2 linked regions of the Oreochromis niloticus genome follow. The protein of the gene in region 2 purifies or fractionates together with the protein of the main gene of each other region. This does not show direct contact. Links are inferred from orthologs where the notes say so. Each region holds a gene or a part of one and is shown on either strand. Other genes may lie near its edges. The genes, in order: plekha2 and mpdz.

Region 1 (12,469 bases), on a different chromosome or scaffold from region 2:
AATTGGAGGATTGTAAGAGGATTAAGGTCAGAATAAGGTTGGATGGTATCCTGTGATTAAGGGCAGTGGTCTTAAGAGTGATAACACAGGTTTAGATCAATATTTCATGGTTCCCATCTTCATCAGATGCCACATAAAAACCAAGTGTATGCTGAAATCTTTACCTCAGTTTGATCCAGGACTTAAATAGAGTCCCCACTTTATGTGGTAGTATTGGAAAGACTTCTAGGTGTAGACGTGTTAAATTGCAGTGTAGGGCATTACTCTAGTTAAAGACTCGATTTAAGGGAAGAATTAGAATAACAAAAGCATACACGATAAAGATGACTGATAAGATGCACTGTGTTTGTTTCCTCATGCAGAATGAAGAGGTGTTGAAGAAGTGTGCACAAGAGTATCTGGCCAGAGTCAAGCAGGAGGAGCAGAGATACCAAACACTAAAGCTGCATGCAGAGGAGAAACTGGACAAGTATGTAGAGAGTAAATATAAAACTACCATAAGAAACTAAACACTGGACAGATTCAGTTTCTGTTAATTATCTCTCATTTCATGCATCTCTTAGAGCTAATGAGGAGATTGCTCAGGTGCGTGCAAAGGCGAGCGCAGAAAACATGGCGATGACCGCCAGCCTGAGGAAGGAACAGATGAAGAACGAGTCTCTGGAACAAGCCCTGCAGCAGAAGGTGAATTGCATCATGGATACAAAATCTGCTCTGAGACCCTTTTAGTGTGTAGTAGTGATGGACAGGCTGACAGAGGAGGTCAGGCAGGAGGCTCTTTGGACTATTATGTTTAGAGAAGTCATTGTCATCTATAGCGAGAGTAGGGAGCAGGTGCAAGAGAGTCTGGAGAGGTGGATGTGTGCACTTGAGATAAGAGCAAGCAAGACAGGTGTGAAGCTGCAAGGAGCAGAGATGGTGAAGGTGGATGAGTTTAACCTGGGGTCAGCGATCCAAATAATAGACAATGCAATTCAATTCACTTTTATTTATACAACGCCAAATCACAACAACAGTCACCTCAAGGCGCTTTATATTGTAAGGTACACCCTACAATAATACACGATCCCACAATAATACAGTAATAAGACAGTGCAGAAGAGAGTGCAGGCAGGGTGGACATGCAGAAGGGTGGTGTGACAGAGGTGCATAGTAGGGATGAGGTGAGATGGATGCAGATGATCCGCTGTGGCGACCCCTAAAGGGAAAAGCCAAAAATGGTTTTTTTTGGCACTTGAATACCATCAAAATACATGTTTGAGGTGGTACAAAGAAATAGTCTGGACTTGGGCTGGATCATTTCCAAATGAGCGTACTTAAAGAAACAATATTTACATATGATTTGCACTTGTATTTGTTAAACTAAAGGGATCATGCAGCTGGCTAGCGCTGCAGCTCAGCTGAGGTGCACACCATGAAAGTTTAGTTACAGCTTGTCACACTTGAACGATCACGAGCCACTTCCTTCTACAGTGAAGTCTGCTAAATAGAAATTTGTTCCTACATGAAACTGCTTACAAGAAAACTTTTGTTGTGTTTTTTTTTTTCTTCTGGGTATCTAGGTCAGGATTTCTGGCAAATGACAGTGCTGCTGAGTTTTAAAAAAAGCATTTTTGGTGGTTAGATGGTATTTACTTACTTTCCTCTATTCTGTTTTTTTTACAGAATCAAGAGATCGAAGAACTGACAAAAATCTGTGACGAGCTGATTGCCAAAATGGGAAAAACAGACTGAGGATTTCTTTATGGGAATCAACCATGATTGTCCGTTCCTCTGGCCCCGTGCATGCATTCAGCCCTGAAGCAGTTCTTATACCCTGTGCCTGCCCTGCATCTCAGAGCCTGCTTATGTACAGACGTCTAAAGTAACTTCTTGTATACTACGATTGCACTACATGTGACAGGAACCAAGAACGCTCTATACATTTTAATTACGTGTGATTATCTTAGTTTGTTTTGACTTTGTGCCCATTTTGAGGCCATCTGGAGCCCTTGTGCTTTTGTCAATCATTCCAGCGAACAACAGCTCGCTTGTGACTCAACTAAATTTTCCCAGCAGCTTAACCGCTAAATTCCCAGCAACTCCTCATGCAGGGTGACATCAGATTTAATCTAGGTCGAGATTTGTTTTAAGTTACATTTCAGCTCGGTTTTGTAGAAGGAATATTTTCTATTAAAGAAGCAGTCTATAAAATGTATTTTTCTATGAAGCAAACGTGGGTTTTATGCTCACCGAGGAAGGCTCAGGGGTATTTCGTCGGGGTTGAATGAGGTCAAGGTTAAAGTCAAGCTGCACAAAACGGGAAGAAAGGGGTTTAGGATCATTTGAGGAAGTAGAGCAGCCCACAGAAGCTTTTGTTTGTTTGTTCAGTTATGATATTGAAAGCAAGCTGCACATAATTAATATCATTTGTGTAAACTGATTCAGACGGCGGCACATTTGGGATGCTGGACAATTCAAAAAGCAGCAGAATATTAATCAGTCACTTTATATGTAAAAAAAAAAAATAACCTGACAATCACATAAACATTGATGGCTTCATCCTGTGTGCATAAACACAAAACTAACTGGTGTTAATGATCGCGAACAGCTGGAAAAGAGAAAAACAGTCACTCTGTATGTCAGCTGAAGGCTAAAGGCTATTATATGATTTTAAGTGCTGCTGTACTGTCTGTCAACAGTTTTTGTTTAACTGTCAGTATGTCACCGATTGCTCACTAATTCACATTTATCTCTCAGACTTTGACACCTTTGCATTTTTTTCCATTGCTTATGTGCAATGATGAACATGTGAGCCTTATTGCTTGTGTTTACAGCAGTACACTAGTAATGCAACAGAAAAATATCAGTTTATTGCATGTTTACTTTCACATCTTTGCATTTTTCAGAATGCACACTGTTTTTCCTTAGCACACCAACAAAAACTAGATCGGCACAGTGCCGCAACAACAGTAAAATTGGAGCTGGTGCCCATATTATACCGAAAAAAAGTTTTCTCTTTTAGAAAAACAAAAGAAATGTGTGAAAAGATCAAAGCTCATTCAGGTTTTATCATAAACTAAAAATATAAGCCTTTCATTTTGGTGTTGGTACTTTTTGGTCAGTCACTACTGTAACTTAATGTCAGATAACTTAACTGGCTTTGTAACTTTAGCCCCTTTAATTATTTAAATATATATTTGTGAATTAGAAATGACAATCTCACTCCTGTGTGGAAGCAACTTGAGCGTTTGTACATCCTTCCTGAATAAACCTAAATATAATTTGTTCTGCTATGTTTGATTTTTGTTTTCCTGTCTGAGTTCTCTGTTTGTGTCAGTGTCCACATGATGGCCGCAGCTTTGGACTCGCTGCTAATTACGATGCACAGCGTTTACATCTTGCACATACATTACATTTTATATTCACGCTGTAAAAAGTTTTAGTAGTTAGAAAAAGAAACAAATTACCTCATAATTCTGTTAATAACACCAAACTCTAACCGTGTCTCCCCCTGGTAAAGCTTGCTTTAAGTCAATTACAGCAGTATGCTGGCTGTGCATCATAGATGGAGATTACAGCGATAAGACTTTAATGCCCTCAGACACCTTCCCCTCCAGCTCCACCTCAACCTCCGGTGTCTCCTCCATCAGACGCTCATCTCGGCTCATCCACTCTTTCTCTGGACTCTTGAAAAGACACAGTGACCCATCGCCCTGCTGCCATGAAGACTGCTCTGGCTCTGCTGCTGCTCATCTCTCTGGCCTGCCACGGTAAGTTTTTGGGAGAAGGGATCAACTTTGCTGATTGGAAACTTTGTGTTGGAGAGAATCCACTTTTTTGGGAGAATTTACTCTGCAGCAAATGTATAGTATTAGTGAGGTTAGTCACTATATTTTATTTACTGTCTGTTGGACATACATTGCTTTGAGTGTGTGCAGACGTTCCCTAGCCTCAAATTGTAGGAGACGACAGAAGCTGGATACTCTGCTCAGTGTGTGTGTGTGTGTGTGTGTGCACGGTTGAATGGACTAATAAGAAGGTGGTTGCATATCTGCATGCTTGCAGCCACCTTTTGAATATGCATGCTTAGTCTCAAGCCAGGCGCTCTCTCCTGTTCTGTCTGTGAAGGCCATGCTCTCAAATGTCACACATGCGTGGCGTCCAATGAGGAAGACTGCAACCGTCAGGGCTCCACCCCCTGTCCTCAGTATGCTGATGCCTGCTCCACCATCACAGGGCCCAGTGAGTAAACACTCACACACACATATACATGTACAAACACACACAGAAAAACAAGCAAAACCAGTATGATGTGGCTGGATACAGTAGTGCCTCACTAGAGGTCAGCACAACACTGACAACCCACTGCTTGATTGTGTCACAGATTCAGGAAACCAGCGGTCCTTAAAATAGTGCTCAAACAGTTTCCATTTCCATAAAAAGAGTTTTTAAAGTCAATATTAAAATCCATAAACCACAAACTCATAAAACTCACTTAGCTGCTTCTCTTTTCTCATGCATTTAGCATGTAGTCTTCTGAAGGGGCTGTGGCAAGACCTTTTTCTGTTGGTAACAAAAATCTGAGATTGTTATTTCACAGAGTGAATTTGTAACAGATCAGATGCATGTGATGATGTTCTAAGCACTAAAATGACCTAAAGTTTTTTTCACATATTGGTCACATGACATCTTTTAAGTGTGTGTTCATTTGCGTGCTTGGAAAGTCTTCAGTTACTTCAACACAACTTACCCGTCACCCTCTCTGACCCGATCTCTTTCAGACACGGTTATGAAGTCGTGCACATACAAGGCCTTCTGTGAGAAGGCTAACAGCGGCACCTCCGGAGCCAAGATGCATTGCTGCTTTGGCGATGACTGTAACGGGCCCCACAAGAGTCACAGCCACGGTGGTCATCCCAACAGCACAGGGGCAATTTCTTCCAGCCCAGTCCTGCTGATCACAGCCCTGCTGCTGCGTATGGCCTTGAGTCAGCTGTAAATTCCTCCACCTCCTCCTCCCTTTTTTTGTTTTGTTTTCCTTCCAGTGATTCATCACCTCCTCTTTATCTGTTTTATTTTTAAGTTCAAAAAAGGGATTTGAGTTGCAGAGAGTTTCATGTGGTTTGAGACAAATATCGTCTTTCGACGAGGGTTTCTGACGGCTGTGGTGGAAGGGAGTGTGGTCTGTTCTGCAGGTACAAGCTGCTTTAAAGCAGCTTCCTTTGTCTAAGTTATCATCCTCTCAAACAGTAACCTCGTTCTCTGTAGCAGCTTGTTGAATTTAAGAGGATTTTAACCTGGGGAGTGTTTGTGGTGAATAAATGTGTACAAAGTTAAGAACAGCTCACAGCTCTGATGCACCCGGGGGGGGGACTCGGGTGTGGTTTTGGTAACTAAGTGCTGGGGTGCCTCACTAGTTTAGTGCACAGCTAGCTTGCTTCGCACCATAGAACCACAAAACGAATCTCTTTCGCACGGTAATCTGAAACTGATTTAAAAGGTTTGAAATTGTCTGTGATGATGCTTTGTTATTTTATCTGTATGGAAGCTTGTCTGAATAAAGACCTAATCACACCCTCGTTTCGTGTGTGGGTGCAGTGCATGGTAAACTGTGGCTAAGGTACCCTTGGTGTGGCATTTGACACACTGCTCCTCACTAAATTTGTTTTTGTTAATGTGTCTGATGTAAAAGCACACCTTGGGCGTCTTCTGTACAGTAAAGGAAACCTTCAGTCTGTGATTTTCAGCAGTAACAGAAGGGTCTGCTGAAACTTCAAAGCTTCCTTTTGCAACACTGTAAGTTAATTTCTGTGCAGTCGCCACAGGATATGAAATCAGTGAGGTAGGTCTCCGTCCTGAGGCAGGTCATATGACGTGCAACCACTTCCTCTTAACAGGAGGACACAATTTTGCCGAAAGCAAGAAAAGTGAACACAGAATCCCTCCTGTGAATGTAGATATTTGTTATTTCAGCACTTACAAAGGTGTCATGCTCAGATCCAGCAGAGACTTTACATGTGTGAAAACCTTAAAACCAGAATCTTGACTAAACTTACAGTGAGGTGTTGAAACTGAGAGGTCAGGTCAGTTCATCTTTTAAGCCCTCTTTTTTTTTTTTATCACTTAAGAGTTTTAGACCTCAAACTGTGGTCACTTTTGTGTAAAGGTGGAATAAAGCAGGCTTTAAGCATTTTATTAGAATACCCTGAGTTTCTTTACATCCTGTGGCAATGTGAGATGGATGACTTATTATTTTACCCAACATTTAACACTGAAGTTGCTGTTTTGCAAGTTAGACAAATTTAAGATACTTGCTAAAGTTTTATCTATCAGCTCTTCAACTTAAGTTCACATAGAAACTGCAATAAGGTAATGTGTTAAAAAGGATCCTTTCTGCATAAGTTTAAAGCCTGAATTTCCATGAACACCTTTGACTGACAACCTTGAACTCCTCCACACTTGCATATATTTGCTTTTGATGCGTCTTCTTTAACTTTGGATGTTTGTCTCTGATAGCACTGGGCTACACTAGTGCTTTGTTCAGAGGTCGTGCTTCGGGATATAAGGTTAGTAAATTATAAGTCTGATAACCACAAATGCTTTTCATGGAATATGTTTTGCATATTTTTGTTGCACGGGATCACATGCAGCTACAAGACTCAACTCTTCCAATAGCACGCACTAATCAGCATAACCGACCGTTTTCTCTTTATCTAAATAATGCAGGACTTTCATGCAGCCGTGCGGCTGCTATTGATGACACTATGGTCATGTGACATGAGAACTTATGGGGTTAAAGGTCTGCAGAGGAAATCTATCAACAAATACACTTACACCTACACGGTGAAATAAATTTTATTTTTCCTTTTTAATGTGTGAAAGCGTCTGAAACAGCATTTTAAAAGGTTCCCGTGAGGCAGTTAGTATCTTTAAATTTGAACAACAGCCCCGTTTTTGGTGGAGAACCTTTAACTTTAGGTTTACTTTATATATATTTTTAAAGCACCAACTGTTTTTGGCATAACATCTCGCACCTGTCAGCCTCACCTACCAGCGGTAATGACACTATGAGTCTTGTATTCCTGTTTATCCAGGTTTACACTCCCTTCCCTTTCAGCTGTTCTGTGTGAACTACCGGGTTCATCTGAGCGTGTGCGTCTCGTGTTTGTCCCAGCTCTCAAAATTGCCACACTTTTTTTTTTCAACTTAAAACTGAAGATAAAAGCAGAGAGAGTGTGTGTGTGTGTGAGAAAAAAAAAGACCTGTTTAGATTAAAGCAGCAGCAGACAGGAGGAGGAGGAGGAGGAGGAGAGCCCTGCTTGTGCTCAGGGGACGCATAGATCACATCCGGGGCTGGTTTATTCTAATAACGAAACGTCCAACCCGGAAAAAAGGACAAGTCTTCTGTAATCGGATCACACAAACAAATTGAAGAGGGTGTCGGAGTTTCACGCACGCCGGTCTTGCGAATATCCACGGCTTATTTTAGGTTTTTAAAACTTTATTTAGCATGCTCCTGTTCACCAAACTCGTGTCTCTCTCCGCTGCTTCGTAGCCCTGCGGGGCGCTGGCTTTGGCGCACGCCGACTCTCCATAGCGGGTAAGTTAAGTCGACAGGGGTACTTTCTGACTTTGTGTGTGTGTGTGTGTGTATGTATGTATGTATGTATGTATGTATGTATGTATGTGTGTGTTTGCGCGCGGGCGTGTGGTACAGTAGGTGTGGCTGGCCGTTGAGTCGTTGGATCTGGTGAGTCAGTGCAGGTCATCTGAGCTGAACAAATGTAATGTCTGTCAGGTGTTGCTGAGTAATTGCGCCTGATCACATTTTGACACTTTTCATTGCATGCTCATAATCACGTTGGAAATGCACGCGCATGGCAGTCAAGCTTGGTATCCAGGGGCGTGCTGCACGCAGCTGCTTTTACTGTCAGTTAAACGATTTGCTCGATTAACTGGTCCACAAAATGCCAAACATCTTAAAATAGACTACACGAAAACCCCCCAGTTGTGTTCCGGATTTCAAGATCCGGATTTCTGTTTCTGTATAATCCTTTAAGATCATTTTATTTATTAAATTTTACATAAAGTGATTGTAGGGAGTGTGGAAACTACTTGGGTGAAGATTGTTTGATGACACAACAAACTGTATTTTTATTTGTACTTTTTTTTTTTTTTTAAATTAAAGAGCTATTCACCGTTTTCACACCTCCAAGTTAACTCAAATGCCAGAGGAAGAACTACCGAGCCTGTCTTTAGCAGCTCTGGGGTGAACTTTGATAAATCTGAGAACAAAGTAAAGCATTTACCAGGCAGAACAAAAGATGCTACAGTGCTGTAATAAGTCTGTAACAAGTTCCCCCAACGATTAAGAAGAACATGACTAAACCTCTCAGACATGCCACAGGTTGGTCTAAGAGATTTACTATCAGTTTCTGCCAGACTGTGTTGTGCTTGCACACAGATGAAGCAGATATGTAAAGGTGCTGTAGGTGGGTTTTACTTCATTACCTTGGATGTGGTATAAGTCAACTAATATCGCTGCTGTGATCTGTACGTTCTGTTTTCCTGCACACAAACTGATAATTGCTCTGTGTATATTATCCTGCCACGTTTCAAAGCTAAGGTACTTGATAGAAATGTAAAGACAGTTGAAATGACATTTGTCAATGTAGTTTTGCCAAAGATGCCACAGCTTCGCCGCTGCTTGTCTTTATAATGGCTAAGCCAGATGTTTTCTGATGCCCAAAATGGTTTAATGTGCACATGGGTGCATGTGTGGGGATTGTGCTACTGTCAGAGCTGACCTCTGTGGCATCATTTTCATTTTTCCATTACAACAAGACTTTCTGCAGAGCGCTTCTGTATCTTTGACCTATTTAAATAGCAGCAGACTAACACATCAGAAGCACAACCCACTAATTTTTTCAAAGCAGTTTCAAAATGAAACATTTTCTTACCCATGAACTCAAAAATAGATTCACTGGAGAGTCATCGGCATGGTGAAGACATAGTCTGTGTTTGTCTTCTGTTCCTCTGAGTGGGTTGTCTGAATATTTTCATGGAAATGTTGATAATTTCCATCTCCTGAAGGCTTCCGAGCCAGGACGAGCCCGTAAAAAAAGTACTGGCAGGGCGCACGGCCATTCAGTCTTGATTATGTATTTTATATGACTGTCACGTTATAATTTTTGGTCCTGTATAAAAAGATCAGTCACAGATGTGGCCTAGTTTGCCATCATATTACCTTTGTGGCCTCATTACATTCAAGTTTTTCCGTAGATTCGAATCTGGTAAAGTAAGGATCTTCCAAATGGATCTATTAATTTATGTGATTATTTATTTTACTGGGTGCATCCAACTTTGGAGTTTGTCTTTGTGATTACTTCACATTAAGTCGACAGAGATGCAAAAGAGGCACCGTCAACAGTGAAAGTTCCTTTGGCAACTTAAGGAGGACAAGAATATAAATGAAGCCAGAAGCCTTGTGGTCAACCATTAGAAAAATAAATACTATGAGATGTCTGCCAATTGATAAAATGTAATTGAAAGTCTATAGAACTGAGGCTCTCTGAGCTGAATGAGCCTCGACTGTGTTGAGGAATCAGTCAGCAGCTCGGTGATTCACACGCATGGCATCGTTTCAATGAACACATCTCACCAGCTTTCTCCCCCTCCTCTCATCTTCTTTCTTCCCTCCCTTGCTCCCTGCCTTTCCTCCCTCTCCTCTCTCCTTGCTCCTCTCTCTTCTCTGGCCAATGGAAATGTGCGTGTGTGCAGATCATGAGTGCAGTCTGTAATTTTTGGCTGTGGTGGAGGGCCTCAGCTCAGCCTCAGGCTTCAGGGTTTGCTGCACAGCCTCAATCACGTCACATGAAAAACTGCTGAGTGCGAGTGGTCTATTCCTTCCTGCGTGTGTGCGCGCATGCATGCTTGTGTGCGCTTGAACACTAAATGAAAGATGATTTATCCTCCACATCTGCCTGTCTTTGCCTCCTGTTGCTCCCTTCACATGTTGTCTCTCTTTGTCCATCTCACTTGAGTCTTTCTCTTCCTAACTGTCCGTCTGTCCTCAGTGATATGTGATATCGACAGCATGCCGTACGTGGACCGGTTGAACCGTGTGTGCGGCTTCCTGGACATCGAAGAGAAGGAGAACAGCTGCCGCTTCCAGAGACGATACTTCATCCTTGACACGCAGGGAAATGCACTGCTGTGGTATATGGACAACCCTCAGGTGCTCCACACGCGCATGCACAACCCACACTTTCACAAACAGCAAGAGGAAATGAAATTGACCAATAGTGGCCATATAACCTTGGACTCTGAGCTAACGACGAGTCTGTGTATTTGTGTTTGTATGCAGAACCTGCCCAGTGGAGCCAGCTCTGTTGGCAGCTTGAAGTTAACCTACATCTCTAAGGTAAACCACTTTCATGACTGACTCCGCAGTGTGGTTGCATACAGTAAAGTCCAGCGCACCAACTTAGATATCTAAAATGCGAGCACACAAGAATTCACAGACTACACACAAATAGCATGCAAATTCGTGCAAGAGTTCATAGATACACAAAGAGGTCAGAGTTATCTCTAGTTAACGGTCACATGCAGCGCAGAGCCGAGGCAGACGCTGTGAAGTTTTCCAGATGTCAGCGCGCTCACTGAGGTAACCACAGATAATGACATCTGGCTCCTCTGCACTGCAGCGCTGACAGCTTCTCCCTGGACACTCAGTCAGATCTATGTCAAAAATTCCTCTGTTTTTTTTTTTCACTCCTTTCAGTTTATATTCACATTTCTTTTCTCTTCTTCTATCCTCAGGTGAGTGAAGCTACAACAAAGCAAAAGCCCAAGACAGAGTTCTGCTTTGGTGAGTTTTTTTAGGGAGGAACAGAGTGATGCTGATGAAATGGTTCGAAATTACATAATCTCCCATGTGTGATAATATTGTCCATTCCACTTATTGTGGATATTCACGGAACTGATTTCTTCTCCGGCAGTCATCAATGCACTTTCGCGACGGTACTTCCTGCAAGCCAATGATGTGACCGACATGAGAGACTGGGTGGCTGCTCTCAACAAGGCCAGCAAGATAACAGTAAGTGCCGTTACATGAGAAAATGCTTGATCTAGCAGTTATTGGTGGTGTTGGGGTGGGAGGGGTGGGGGTTGTTTCCACCTGAGTGCAGGAAGCTGCAATTTTGCTGCGGTGGGACTGAAACCAGTTCGACCCAGGCGGCTGCAAATGCCAGCCCATTGCCCACAGATCCCCCTTCACGCACACACACAGACACACACACACACACATTGCTGAATGAGGAAACTGTGCAAGAAAACGAATGATAACACAAACGTCACTGCGGTGAAGGTGTCGAAACTTGTTCATATGTATTTGCATAATATTTGTGTGAGCTCAATGAAATGTCCAGGAGCCTCGTTGATCAGTGATATTCAGATGTCTTCTGATGGAAGGTAACAGAGAAGAGTGTTTCTCTGCCTCTCTCACCTGCTCACTGACACAGGAAGCGGCACTGTTCACTCTTTTTCACTTCCCCATCGAGGGCAGGGCCGCTCTGCCGCCTTTTTTTTCTTTCGTCTTTTCTTTTTCTTTTTCTGAGCGAGTGTAAAAAAGGAAATCATGATATAATTGCAGGGATAAAGTAGCACATGGGGGGGGGGGGGGGAAAGTAAAGTTATTAAAATGCATCTCTTCATATTTGTCTGTTTGAGCTAGATGTGTTGCAGTTTATTAGGAAATTATACATTTAGCTGGATGATTCAGCTGTTTGGCCAGTTTTGGGAAACTGTAGGCTAGATAATGGATCTAAAAGCAGAAAATGCAGCACAGCATCACACAGCCCTACTATTGTTTTTACTGTATGACCAGCATGCACCTGCAAATCTGTTTTTCTTTTCCTGCTCCCTACTCGCTATACACCCCACGCTAACATTTGTGTGTCTGGTGGGCTTTATTTGCTTGGATACACTTGGTTGCACTTGGTGCATCAGTGGACTTTGAGAAAGCTTGCAATCTTTCACAGCCGATCACATTCAAGGTGTTTTTCAGTTAACTCTGCAGTAAAACAGTCACGGTGTTGTGGCGAGCGTATGACTAAGACAGTATTCCCAGAGTGAGGAAGAGCGGCTGTGGAAATTAAACAATCAAGTCCTTTTATTTGCTCTCAGAGGTGTCCCGTCTGTTCACAGGTGCCGAAGTCTTGCCCTGCATCTGTGAGGCCTGATGTAACCACGGTGATCAGTGATGCTCAAGGAGGGAAGAGACAACAGGCCTACAAGGCTGAGATTATTGGCGGCGTGGTGGTGCACACTCCTATACAGGTAAAATGATAGGACACACACACACGCACACTTTTTTTTAGCATTATAAGAATCAAAACTGTGGCAAAAGCACACAAAAATGCGGTGTGCTAAGCTAGTCTGAGTTATCGACAGTGGTGGTTTCCGTGACTATGATATCTAAAGTGAT
Region 2 (12,349 bases):
CATAAATGAGTAATGAGGGAATCAACCTCACCTGCCAATGAAACTGTTTGTCAGTCAAATGTCCAGCAACATTTGAACGTCTGAAAATGGGGTGCTATGTATAAAAATGACGGTGATTCCTAAACAGTTAATGCAAAACTGTTGCAAAACCCCTTGAATTAAAGTTAAAAGTCTGCACTTCAGTCACATCTTGACTAATTTAATTAGAAATCCACTGTGACTGTGTACAGAGGCAAAATCACAAATAATGCGTCACCGTCCAAAAACCTAAGGACCTAACTATGTGTGAGTTTGCAGAAGAAAAGGTGGTCCTTGAGCAAAGCATAAGGAGTCACAGATATATCAGCCAAATGTGCTAATTGCCATAGACCTACTGGGAAAGAAGATGACATTTACCAATGGCAGGAATAATGAGCTGACTAAATGTTTAACTGTAGAGTGATAAAGAGTTGAAAGACTTTAAAACAAGCTTCTTTTTTTGTGGAACCCAACCAATAAATCTGTATTTTCAGCCAAAATTGACTTATTAAGGATCTGGAGCTATATGAAAACTCTGATTTTGGTTTTTAATAATAACGCAGAAAAGATGCTTAGGGTAATTTAGAATTGGTGTTATCAGTTTTTCCAGCAGAGCAGCGCCTGGAGCACACGTATTCATCACAGTTCATCATTTGCAGCTGACAAACACACAGTCAACATTCCCGTCCTGAGAGTGACCACAGATTGCTGTTTTAAAGAAAGAAGCTGGCAGCACCAATTTGGCATCATGCTTGACAGTTGGGCAAATAAATCTCTATGGGCACAAACAAACAATCAAATTTATGGCAACATTATCAGATATGGCAACATTGGCAGCCCACGGACATTGAACTGAATCCAGGGCCTCTTACGCTGGTTGAGAAAACTCTCAGCTTAAGCCAAATGTGCAAAGCACAGCCAGCAAAGACGGACACCCAAGCCCCCGTGCAAAAACTGCTCATTTTAAAAGGAAGATTTTCTCTTTTTTTGATTATGGCAGTGTTGAATCTTAATTAAACCGAGTACTGGTACTGGATTCAGAAGTCTGCTATCATGACCACACTCAACCCTAAAGCTGGTTCAATCATGGATGAAATCATGAATATTTTATAGATGCCTGGCATAAAACAATTTAAAAAACCAAATACTTACCCATTGTTTCTATCATTTTTAGAGCGTCGGATGAATGTGTAGCCTTCCCTTCATCAAGGCCTGAAAATGACAAATTCAGTATTTAATGTCTTTTTGTGAGCAATCAGAGAACTAAATATTAGACCACTAACTCACGCTGTTTTCTTTTATTTTTAACTTCCACAAAGCTCTCAGAGCAAGAAAAATGGCTCATCCTCCTCCTGGGTTCTCCTCCCAACTTACACATTTTCTGTTCAAAAGATTAACATTAAAAAGAAACTAGATTTATTTCATTTCTGTTAGGTCCATATTTATCTCTGAAGAATGCTTCACTATGTGCATCAGAGTACCATTGTGCTGAAGAACTGTCCCAGTTTGTCGAGTCTCTCGACAAACCGGCTGCCAGAAAAGCGCTTCTACTCAAGCTTCTTAGTTCCCTTATATTCCACTAATGCTCTTATTGATGAATAAATACCAAGTAATTTACATTCCTGAAATTTCATACAGCCGGTATTAGATGAAGCTTGAGTATCCATTTTGCTCTTATCAGATAAATATCATCTTACTTCATACAACCCTGATAATTAATTATCCTCTCACACAACAATCTTATAAGCTGCTTTAAAACTAGCACAACATCCTGCTAACATGACAATTTTCATATTTAATTGTTCTTCATTTTCTCCTTATAAATTAAAAGTTTACACTGACTTTTTATTTGCACTGTTACTTAGCTCATAAATGAGTGTTTAAACTGTTGGTCAATATTAGGAGTGGGGGGTGGGCGAGCAGATAGAGCACAGTATTGCACTAATTTAGGTGGTGATATTGTATTAGTTCTGCGACACCAAAAAATAAATTTTTATTAGCTAAAATAAAATTCTTTGGGGACGACTACAAACAAGATGGATCATCTCATGCAACACCAATCTGAGATAATGTTAACTGTGCAAACTTACTTTACACTGGCTCGACCAAACTTGTGATTGTCCAGAGCTTGAGGGTAAGGTAAGGTGATAGCACAGGTCACCTGATACGAGGTAACCTTTCTGCAAATAGTTGCAGTCTGACTTGGAAGGACTGCAATCACTCTCAGAGAGATTGTCAAAGGTTTGCAAATAATTGCTGTCTAATTTACAGATAGATTGAGTCTCTGTCAATGAGCACAACGCGAGAGGACTCAACTCAACTGGCTGCCAGCTGCTTGTATTCTTGTTATATTCCCGTAAAACCGGAAGGCTGCTGAATGCAGAAGACATAGTTAAATGTTTCTGTCTCTGCAGACTGAAACAGATATGTGTTTATCAACAATTTATTACAGTTAATTGCTGTTTTATCAAAGTCAGGTTGCATGTAATTGCCAAATTGACCCAATCAATCGTAGACTGATATCAGACTGATGGCACACTGACCTGGTCTTATGGCAACATTAATGGCAGGTTTTAGTGACAGTGTTGGTGTTTTTCAATATCACTGAACAGCAATACTACGGTGGTTACCACTGGCTTTTATAATGTCTACGGTAACACACAGCAAAAGAGAAAAAATGCTTATGTTTTGCACACAAAAAAATTACCTAAATGCATACCTGATTATTAAGTAATCAGCTCATGTATTTATAATTATTATTTTAAACTCCCTAAAAGCTGCTTCAGTAAATCACCCTTTCTATTGACTGGTGTCATCCTGCTCACTGTTCCTTTCAGACACACACATTTCTGACTATTTTACCTGGAAAAGTCTTAATTTACCAATATTTCATTGTACCATTGTGCTTGAAATCAAAGTCTCATTTTGCACAATGGGTGGATTCAAACATCTATCTGAAGTCTGGCTATTTGTTCTATCTAATCTGTCAAAAAATATATCTTTGTGAAACTGACTGTTGCCTTGGAAAAAACCCTGTTACCTTCAAAGTGCATGCAATCAAATCAGAAAGGCAAGAGAAAGAAGGAGCAGTGACTCCTCTACTGTGTAAACAAAGCCAGTGCCAATAAGCTCATAAAGACTCCCAGTGCCTTGATACTTTAAAGCTTTAAAAGCTAACAGCAATGCATGATGAAGGTGATCATGTCGTTTGTATTTGACTAATTCTTTTAAGGAGTGCTCGCTAACAGAGCCCATGCAGGGAACATCACACTTGGCTGCGGAGAGTGGCTTTGTAAGCAAGCGTGATATGACTCAGGGAGACATTACACGATTAAAGGAGATTGCTCAGACAATTAAAAGCCCTGTATAGACTCTCAGAATAGCTGCAGTATCTGTGGCAAAAGGATCACCACAGCTCTGGTTTGTTTATGCATTTGCTTCACTCATCACTGCATGTGTCCTACCCTTTATGCTGAGTGATGAGCTAGTATGTTAGCTGTGTATTTCACTCATGTAGTGATGTATTTATGTAGTAAATCTGCCTTCACACGCACCTTACAGTCACTTGTGGCAACAGTAGTATACTATATGTGTTTTTTTTTTCAATGACATATGTGGTTCAGTGTCTGAAAGTAGCTTTACCATTCCTTAAGGATGCACACACTATAGTGGTATGCAATGAATCACAGAAGGCCGGAGGAGCTCATTAGCCGCTATTACACAGTAGATATCAGCCTCCAAAAAAAGTAGTTTAGCTCCATGGGTAGCATTTCCTTGCGAAAATAATCATTTGTGAGGTTTGTGGTGAGTAAAATTAGCTAATAAGAAAACGCTGTTATTTTATCGCGGAGTTCCTCCAAAATCAAAGAAATTAGCACTATGCCCGTGTTATTTCTTGTTAATAAAGCGTTTAGTACGTCGTATTTGTTTAAAGCTGGTATATTCTGCCCAGGTTCGGTGGTGTTTTGAATACAGTCGACAAGGCACTCGGGACAATCCGATTTTCTCAACCCCTCCTCCTCCTCCTCTTTCCCCATCTCATCTAGCAAGAAAGCAACAGGCTTCCGACGCGGAGACGGGAAAGAAGTTACACACTATCAGGGCTCTGTACGGCCACAGGAAATCGCCCAAGCTGGCTTCTTGTAGTATATATAAACACTTTTACTTGAAAAAAAGCCTCTTGGATCTATTTAAAGGCAGTCTGGTGTGGTTATGTGACCAACCGCTACAGAAGACGTCTCACAATATTTTCCTCTAATTAGCGACATTAAAGCTAACAAAGGGGGTCTCTAGCTTGAGAAAAGCTGAAGTTAGTACACATTCGAGACTTCAGTAACGTTTCCTCAAGCGAAACACGTTTAAAGAGAGTCACTTACATGAGTGTGGACGCTCTGCTTCCCCGGCGGCCAGTATCTTGAGCTATCCTCTGTTGTCCTGCGGCTAACGGCGCACTGACTGGGGCTTAAAGATGGGGCGTTGAGTAACTCGATCCTCTGTGGACACTTCCAGCGATAGCCGCACCGACAGTTCAGCTGGGGCTGAAGCGCCGCTTGCTGGCTGCCCTGACAACTAGGCCCTACATACATGGAAGAAGCCCTGGCTGCCGTGTAGGGCCAGAGCTAAAGTCCCAAAAACAAAGCAAACTCACATAAACTTAAACTAGGGCAGGGATGTTAAACTCGGTTTACATTGCGGGCCACATTATGAGCCTACTGTATGATTTTAAGGAGCCCGGATCAGTGATACCCCCCTTTTCCGTCTGTGTAAATCAGTTTAAATGCACACTTAAAAAGAAGTGCAATTTCAACAGTACACTGAAGTTTGTCTGCAGAACAGAGAAATCCTGCTCCTGTAAATGAAATAAATATAAATTGTAAGAAATAAATGTGTAAAATTAGCTCATTTCTCAGATTAAACTGTGATTATAACACTTTTTGGGGGGGTTATTTAATAGAAAAGGATCTTGTTTCAATTACTGTTAGAAAACCCCCAGAAATTTATATAGATTTTTAAAAAACATGAATCTTTCTGTTATTTAATTGCTTATGTGTTAGTTTGGTGTATTATTAATGAAAACAAGGGATGTCTTTATCACTAGGAAGAGCTGTAAAACTTTTCAAAATACAGTTTAAAGTCGAAACTTTATGGCCTCCCTCAAATTTTCCAAAGCTGTCCAGTGAGCCAGATCGGAGTCTTTGCTGGGTGAAATTTGGGAAGGGGTGAGAGGGGTTGTCTATAATGGACATTATCTTGGCTAGCATCCTCTCACACATCACCTCTATGGAGTCTAGGGGCTGGCCAGGATGGAGCTGGCCCTCTTCACCAGTCTATTAAGTCGGGTAGCACTTTGGCAGGAGAAGGCATAGATGCTGTAACAAGAGAGACAGAGGGGCATGAGGGGTTAACCTGGCCTGCCTATAAACCGACGTTTAAGTGGAGAAAAGACAGCAGAAAACAGCTTTCCAACTGCTTTCATGGGGCAAACAACAGGAAATTACAGATAAATCACGGCAAAACTTTCACAGAAGGTTATTCTCTGAAAAAAGTTGGCCTGGGAGACAAACACACACAGCCCAGCGATTTTGTCTGAGGCAGTTAAACTTGGCCCTTAAAATTATTACTTTTGAGGAACACCTGACCTCAGCGACCTGAACGTGAATCACAGGTGCAGAAGTGTATTTGTTTAAGTGCCCTTGAGCAAACACAGTCTCTAAAATGCATAAAATACACTATAAAGGAAGCGTAATATTGCTCTCATTCATATTACATATATTGAAGTTACCGTGAGGCCCATCCCTACCATGGCTGGAGCCCGGGGATGTATTTGTCTTAATAATTCATATTTTCTCTGCATTTTTTTATATGCTGCACTAATTATAAACGATTCAGCGAATTGTTGGAACGGTTTTCAGTCAATCCAAAGCATTTGTGTGAGAGTCCAATCAACAGGGCAGTTTATGCTTCTAATTAAATATGACTCCCATGCACTGCAAGCTTGTTAACCACATACAGCTCACCCACACACTTATGCATGAATACTTCATGCTGCCACCCACACAAGTTCATGCAAAAGCTAGATATTTGTCTAATATGCATTTAAGTGTAATGAACAGTATACTCTGTGCTTTTATTACTTCACAAGATGATGTGATTTTAACTCAATATGCAGAACATTTAGTAGACACGAGAAAAGAACTTGTCATCTGTTAATTGTGACTCAGATCTAGCAGCACAACAGAAATGTAGTAGTGCTGTAATTTGCATTGTTTTCCACGTTGTTGCAAAGGAAAAGCAACTATTAGGCACTGGCTGGTCAAGAAAGCCTCTTAATACTATTTCTGCCCTCTCCACAATTGCTTTTATTTTCATGGATCAAGACCTCAGAGGAGAGCAGGAAAGAACAGGGTCAGTCTGTAAGAAGTCATTTCACCAACAGGGAGAGGGATACAAGCTGCTTTCAGGGAGCTGATACTGACTAAATCCCTTCACCATTTATATCTTTACTTCCACCTCCCTGCTTATCCACCCTGTAACTCCCCTCTTACTCTGACAATAAGCCACTTTTATGTGGGAGGTCTGACTCAGCCAAATGCTGAAAAAGACAAGAGATTGAAACAAGATAGAAAGGAAGAGAGGGGGAAAAAAACATCTTAGCTCAGTGTTAAGCAGCTTCAGCATTTTATATTTTTATACCTGCCTGTCACAGGCCTTCAGCATTAGTCATTGTTTGAGACAGCCTAGTTAAATCTGTCATAACTGGATTCAGATCTCTTTTTCTCAATACTCTGAAAAAGGATTATTTTAGCTGCATTTAACTGTTTTTTGGACCAATTCGGCGTTTGCAAAAGTCACGAATCATCCCTTATTTCCTTATATTTTGCTTCCAAGGAGCCAGGTTTTATTGCCCTTGAGCAGTAGTTCTCCAGGCTTTCTGAAGGTCTGTCAAAGTTTATCTTTGGTCACGGGCTGCTTTTTACTCATTTTCAGGTAAGCTTGAATGATTCATTGGTCAGTGTTAAGTGACTTAACGTTAACTTATGAATCAGAGCCATGACATACAAATGAAAAAGGCGCCTAACTCTAGGGAGTGTCAACCAGTGCTGTGTATACACATAAAAGACAGTTTACCAAAGGAACAATTGCTAGCACAAAAACAGATGATTTGTTCACATTTCTTTAGTGGACTCTATAAATACTGCCGAGGATAACACAGTTTGACAGGCATCAAACAGTATTTTTGCATCAACAGGATGATTCCCAAAGAGATATTAGCTGAAAACGTGGCATATTTTGGCACAGCACCTCAGAAACTGGACAAGTGGAGAATAGAAGAAAAAGTAGCAGACCTAAAAAGTTATCTATTGCAAATGAAGAGTATGTGAAAGCAATGTCCTTAAGAAAAAGGTGTGAAAAAGACAGCAAAGAGTTGACACGGGACATGAGAGATGCTACTGGACCTTCAGTTGATCCGTCTGCTGTTACTGAAGCCTCATCAGAAATAGTCTCAGTGGAAGAGTGGCTGTCAAGAAGCCTTTCTTAAGAAAGGGAAACAGGGAGAAAAGCCTGAGATATGCCAAATTACACAACAACTGGACTGAAAATCAGTGGCAACAGGTCTTATGGAGAGATTAATCCACATTTGAAATTTTGGGTTCAAATCATTGTCAACAGAAGCACTATGATGGGTTGGAGCTGCATTTCAGTCAGTAATGTTCAGGGATTCAAATATTATTTACAGAAACAATGAATTGGAAACATAATTACACAGAAAAGTACAGTCAGATTTTGATCCACCATGCAATACCATCTGGAAACGACTGATTGACTTCATTTTTTAACATGACAATGATCCCAAACACACTGCCGTTGCAGTAATACCATACCTGGATAGAAAAACACACAGTGGAACATTATCAGTCATGGATTGGCCTCCTCAGAGCCCGGACCTCAACGTTACTAAAGTGATGTGGGATCCTCTTGACGGGGAACAGAACAAAAGGGAGCCAAAGAAGAGCTTTGAATGTCCTTCAAGAGGCCTGGAGAACTATTCCTGAAGACTGCTGAAAGAAATTATTATTATTTCACATTTTCTGAGCAAAAGAAAGTTCAAGTCAGTTGTTCAGTTCTGCATTTTATACAATTTATTATGATTAATATTAGAGTTGGTGTAATTTCTAGTACAATAATCTTACACATATAATAATAAACTCCCGGTTGTGTTGGGACCAAAGTCTATCTATGTGACTATATGTGACTGTGATAACAGTAACAAAGGTACTGGCACACTTAATATCCATGTTAACATGATTAACACTATTACCAACATATATGTTGTGTGAATAGTATGCAGAAAGCTAATACACAGTACTTTGCACCACTTACGTTCACACAGCCTGATTGCAATAGACTGTAGAGATTAATGCGACGAGTGATTATTCAAGAGCGCTGTGATTCAGCTATACAACAACATTTTTAAAATTTACAGCAATTTCCTCTACACTGCACGAAAACGACACATTTTCATGAAAAGTACAACTTTCTAAATATCATGTTTTATTGGAAACACACTTGCTATATGAAGTCATATGGTGTAATAAAAAAAACACCCTGAAGGAATCACAAATTCAGTGTCTGAATCATATTGGCAGAGTGAATGCTGGTATTGTTTGTCTTGATTTATTGCCAATAAATCCATCAACATTCAAATAGCCTTTGGAACAAAATTTTCCCAAACGGTATAAAAAAGCTCACGGAAAGATCTGAAAGTCATACTTTTATTTTTCATATTAAAAGGTCTAGCCTGAATAATTCACTAAGTACTTCTGCAGTACTCTATAATACAGCTTCTTGACCACAACAGTGGGAGTGCGTGTTGGGTCAGTGCTAGTAGATGGCAAAACAAAAGGAAAAGACTAGAAGATTTAAGAGTTTTAAAACTAGAAGGTTGTCTTGATGATGGCCTTGCAGTAGGTATTTCTAGTCTTGTATCAGTAGTTCCTCAGGGTCAGAAAACTGAAAATTGAAAGTTTGGCCTGATATTGTCGTCGAGCAAAGGTCACATGAATCGTAGGAAATCAATAAGTCTGGTCCTGTTGGGAATGTGAATGTGCAGATGGAATTTAATGCCGGTCTCGGGGCTACTTTTGAAGATTTTAGACACTTTGAGAGGTCGTTTTGTGTCTTGGAGGGTTTAGTCAGAAGGGAAGTCATAGGGTCACCCAAAAATCAATCGCCCTCTGCCACTTGAGAGCATGAATGTCCGTGGCAAATGTCAAGCCAATCGAGACATAAAATAAAATCAATTGAACAGAATTTTTTTTAAAATGACTGCTGAACTGCAACCCTCGCTTTTCTCTGGTATTCAGCACAGATCCGGGTCAGACATGTAATACTAAAGTAAGAAAATTGAGTTTACAAGACAATGGCGGTATATTGCAAGTACAATATAATCAATAAAGAGCTTTACGTGCTATGAAAGATTAGGCTATATTATTTCAGAATTTCAATGTGCAATAACCAACAGTTGTGATATGAGTGAACGTGATTAGTCATCAAGTATCTTCAATGTGTGAGAGCATCTGTGCCATTACTTGCTATAAGTCGTTGATTGCTAACCCGACCTGCTAGCTTATTACCGACAATTTATTGCCTTCATCGTCTTTTCAGCTTTCTGTAACGCTACACTAAAAGGAAATTACAACCTGCATTATGTGAAAGAGCTCTGAGAGAAGGTAACAGACAGATGAGTCCTCAATATCTGACCTCAGGGAATCTGACAGCTGAAATTAGGGCCTTAAGCTCATATTTCACAGTGTGTACTGCTCTCGGTTTCATTATATAGCATTGAAGGGCTTCTGAATGCACTGTGAGTCACAGCAGGTGAGGTGAGCAGCTATAACGTTGAATGAATGATGTATTAAATGTCCACTTAGTCTTTAAAAGCTAGCGTTGCTCTGTTTCGAAGGGGGAAAAAAAACTTTGGATAATTTATATATGACCAAACTGCGCCTTTCACCAAATGTCTTTATATTTGCACCTATTATTGTATTTGATTGACACCGTCACAGCATGCTTTTCACTGTGTTAAACTGCAAGTCTTCTTTGAACAACTCTACAGGTGGTTTGACTACATTCACTGCTGTTATGAAGGCATGTCATACAGACTCTATCCGGCTGTGACACATTATATAATGTTGCCTTTAAAACTGGATTTAAGTGTTCAACTTTAGGTTGATAACTCTTGGGTAATAGTTTTAGCCTTTGTCTTAAGAAAGATTTTCACATATTTTTTCTATTATAACTGAGATTATAAGAATTTAAACCCAAATCTTTTCTTGAAGAAACTTAAAATGAATAGTAGCCATGCTAACAGCTGCTTGAGGAGGCTATTTAGCATGCTAACTAGCATGCTAGTTAATGAGCGAAACATGCTAAATGTTTTAGCATGTTTAGCTTTCCTTCTTGGTTGAGCATATTTAATATGTATGTGAATTAGCACTAAACAAAAAAGTACAGTCGATTTAGAAGGTTGACCTTTAAAAAAAGAACCCAGTACGTTGGAGGTTATATTAAGTATTTATGGCTCTAATGTAGCTTTGTGTTAGCTGGCACATGACTAGCATACAGTATCTTAGAGGATGAGATGAGAGAGTTAAGCTAATAATGCTGCCTTTTAAGGTAAATAAAACACTGTGGATCCAGGCGTTTGAATATTTGTCATAATTTTTAAAGCCAAGTTACACTGATGTGGCTTGTATTTGCGTCTAAATCACTTTGTCAGCATCTTATTTTATCAGCATTTTCACACCACACTTTTAAGGGAGATGATCAAGGAGTTGCCTGTCATGATGATGATAAATAATGTAGTGTTGTTTGTTGAAAAGCTGAGGAAGTAGCTGCCATGTGGCATGTGTGACAGGGTATAAAAAATGGTTCTTGTCAAGAATCTCTAAGAAAACTGCTTTTTAACTGATCTTTTATGTAGCGATACACATGACCACCTGCTTACAGTAAGGCGACATATCTAGACAGCCACTTAAATTTTGAGTATGAGCCTATAGAAACACAACAAACTTAATTTCATCAGCTTCTAAATCAAAGCCAGATGTGCTAGCAAACAGATGCCTAGTTTTCACAGGACTTTATGCAGGTCTGTGAAAGACTAAGTGCACCACAATTCAATAACTTGTAGTAGCCATTTTCTGTATGACTTTATCAGTTTCTCACACTGTTGTGGGGGAATTTTGGCCCGCTCTTCTTTGCAGTGTTGGTTCATGTCATTGATATTTGTGGGTATTCATTTATGTACAGTTTCTCTAGAGGACCCACCACAGTATATCAATCAGGTTGAGGTCTGGACTTTAACTGGACAACAGCATATTTCCTTTTTCCCCCAAACATTCTGTTGTAGATTTGCTGCTGTTTTTAGGATCATTATGTTGTCCTACGTTAGCTGTTGGACAGATGGCCTCAAATCTTCAGGAGTTCATGGTCAACTCGGTGACTGCAAGATTCCCATATCCCCTGGCTACAAAACAACCAAATCATTACCCTCCCACCACCATGCTCGATAAACATTTATGCTCATATGCTGTGTTTGGTCTTCACTAAATATGGTGCTGTGCATTATGGTCTAACATCTCCACTTTTGTATGTCTGTCCCAGGGACATTGTTCCAGAGGTCTTGTGCAGCTGCAACTTTGCAAACATAATCTTTGCTACCATGTTCTTTTTAGAGAGAAAAATCCTTCCAAGCAAGCCATACTTATTGAGTCTGTTTCTAATTGTGCTGCCATGAACTTTAACATTTAACATGTTAACTGAGGTCTATAGTCTGACATATAGCTCTTGGGATTTTGCAATTTCTTGGACCACTGCACAGTCTGACCTTGGAGTGAATTTGCTGGGACGTCCACTCTTGGGAAGATTGTGGAATTGTGTTAACACACACCTGAATGCTTCAGATCAACAAACTGTCAAAATTCTGCTTTTAAGCTTTTTTTTTCACATGAGTGTAGATGCTAACCTTCTTTGTTGTCTGGTGCTGGGCAGGTATTTCACCCATTTTATTTCTAGGAACAGATATCATACAATGTTCCACAGACAGAAGCAGTTTAAGTGACAGTTCAAGGGTTAGTGGAAAGGTTGATCCTGCTCATTTGTCCAGGACTGACTGGCTACTGGGAGCACTGGGAGAGAGAGAGAGATCCCAGATTAACAAAAATCCAAGTGCCAGTCAAACTCACAAAAAGAAACTCGGACAGTTTAACACACAAGTGTAGTTTCTTAATAGTTAATGCATAATTCTGGCATATACAGACCATCATTTGAT

What was found.
Region 1: the proteins of mpdz (region 2) and plekha2 purify together in Homo sapiens (affinity purification with western blotting; 3 studies listed by BioGRID and IntAct, with this or other methods). This does not show direct contact. The link is inferred for Oreochromis niloticus from reciprocal best matches to the Homo sapiens genes MPDZ and PLEKHA2.

The regions. Positions count from the first base shown.
Region 1 is NC_031977.2:17,643,142-17,655,610, forward strand, and holds the start of plekha2 (pleckstrin homology domain-containing family A member 2), read left to right. Parts: upstream 1-7,236; 5' UTR 7,237-7,582; intron 7,583-10,058; 5' UTR 10,059-10,078; coding exon 10,079-10,219; intron 10,220-10,348; coding exon 10,349-10,405; intron 10,406-10,803; coding exon 10,804-10,852; intron 10,853-10,982; coding exon 10,983-11,080; intron 11,081-12,189; coding exon 12,190-12,321; intron 12,322-12,469. Other genes in the region: transforming acidic coiled-coil-containing protein 1, read left to right, coding at 363-469, 564-684, 1,666-1,734; uncharacterized protein si:ch211-113d22.2, read left to right, coding at 3,704-3,752, 4,111-4,224, 4,764-4,981. UniProt on the Homo sapiens protein: Binds specifically to phosphatidylinositol 3,4-diphosphate (PtdIns3,4P2), but not to other phosphoinositides. May recruit other proteins to the plasma membrane.
Region 2 is NC_031967.2:13,315,527-13,327,875, forward strand, and holds the start of mpdz (multiple PDZ domain protein), read right to left. Parts: upstream 4,698-12,349; 5' UTR 4,395-4,697; intron 1,231-4,394; 5' UTR 1,187-1,230; coding exon 1,171-1,186; intron 1-1,170. UniProt on the Homo sapiens protein: Member of the NMDAR signaling complex that may play a role in control of AMPAR potentiation and synaptic plasticity in excitatory synapses. Promotes clustering of HT2RC at the cell surface.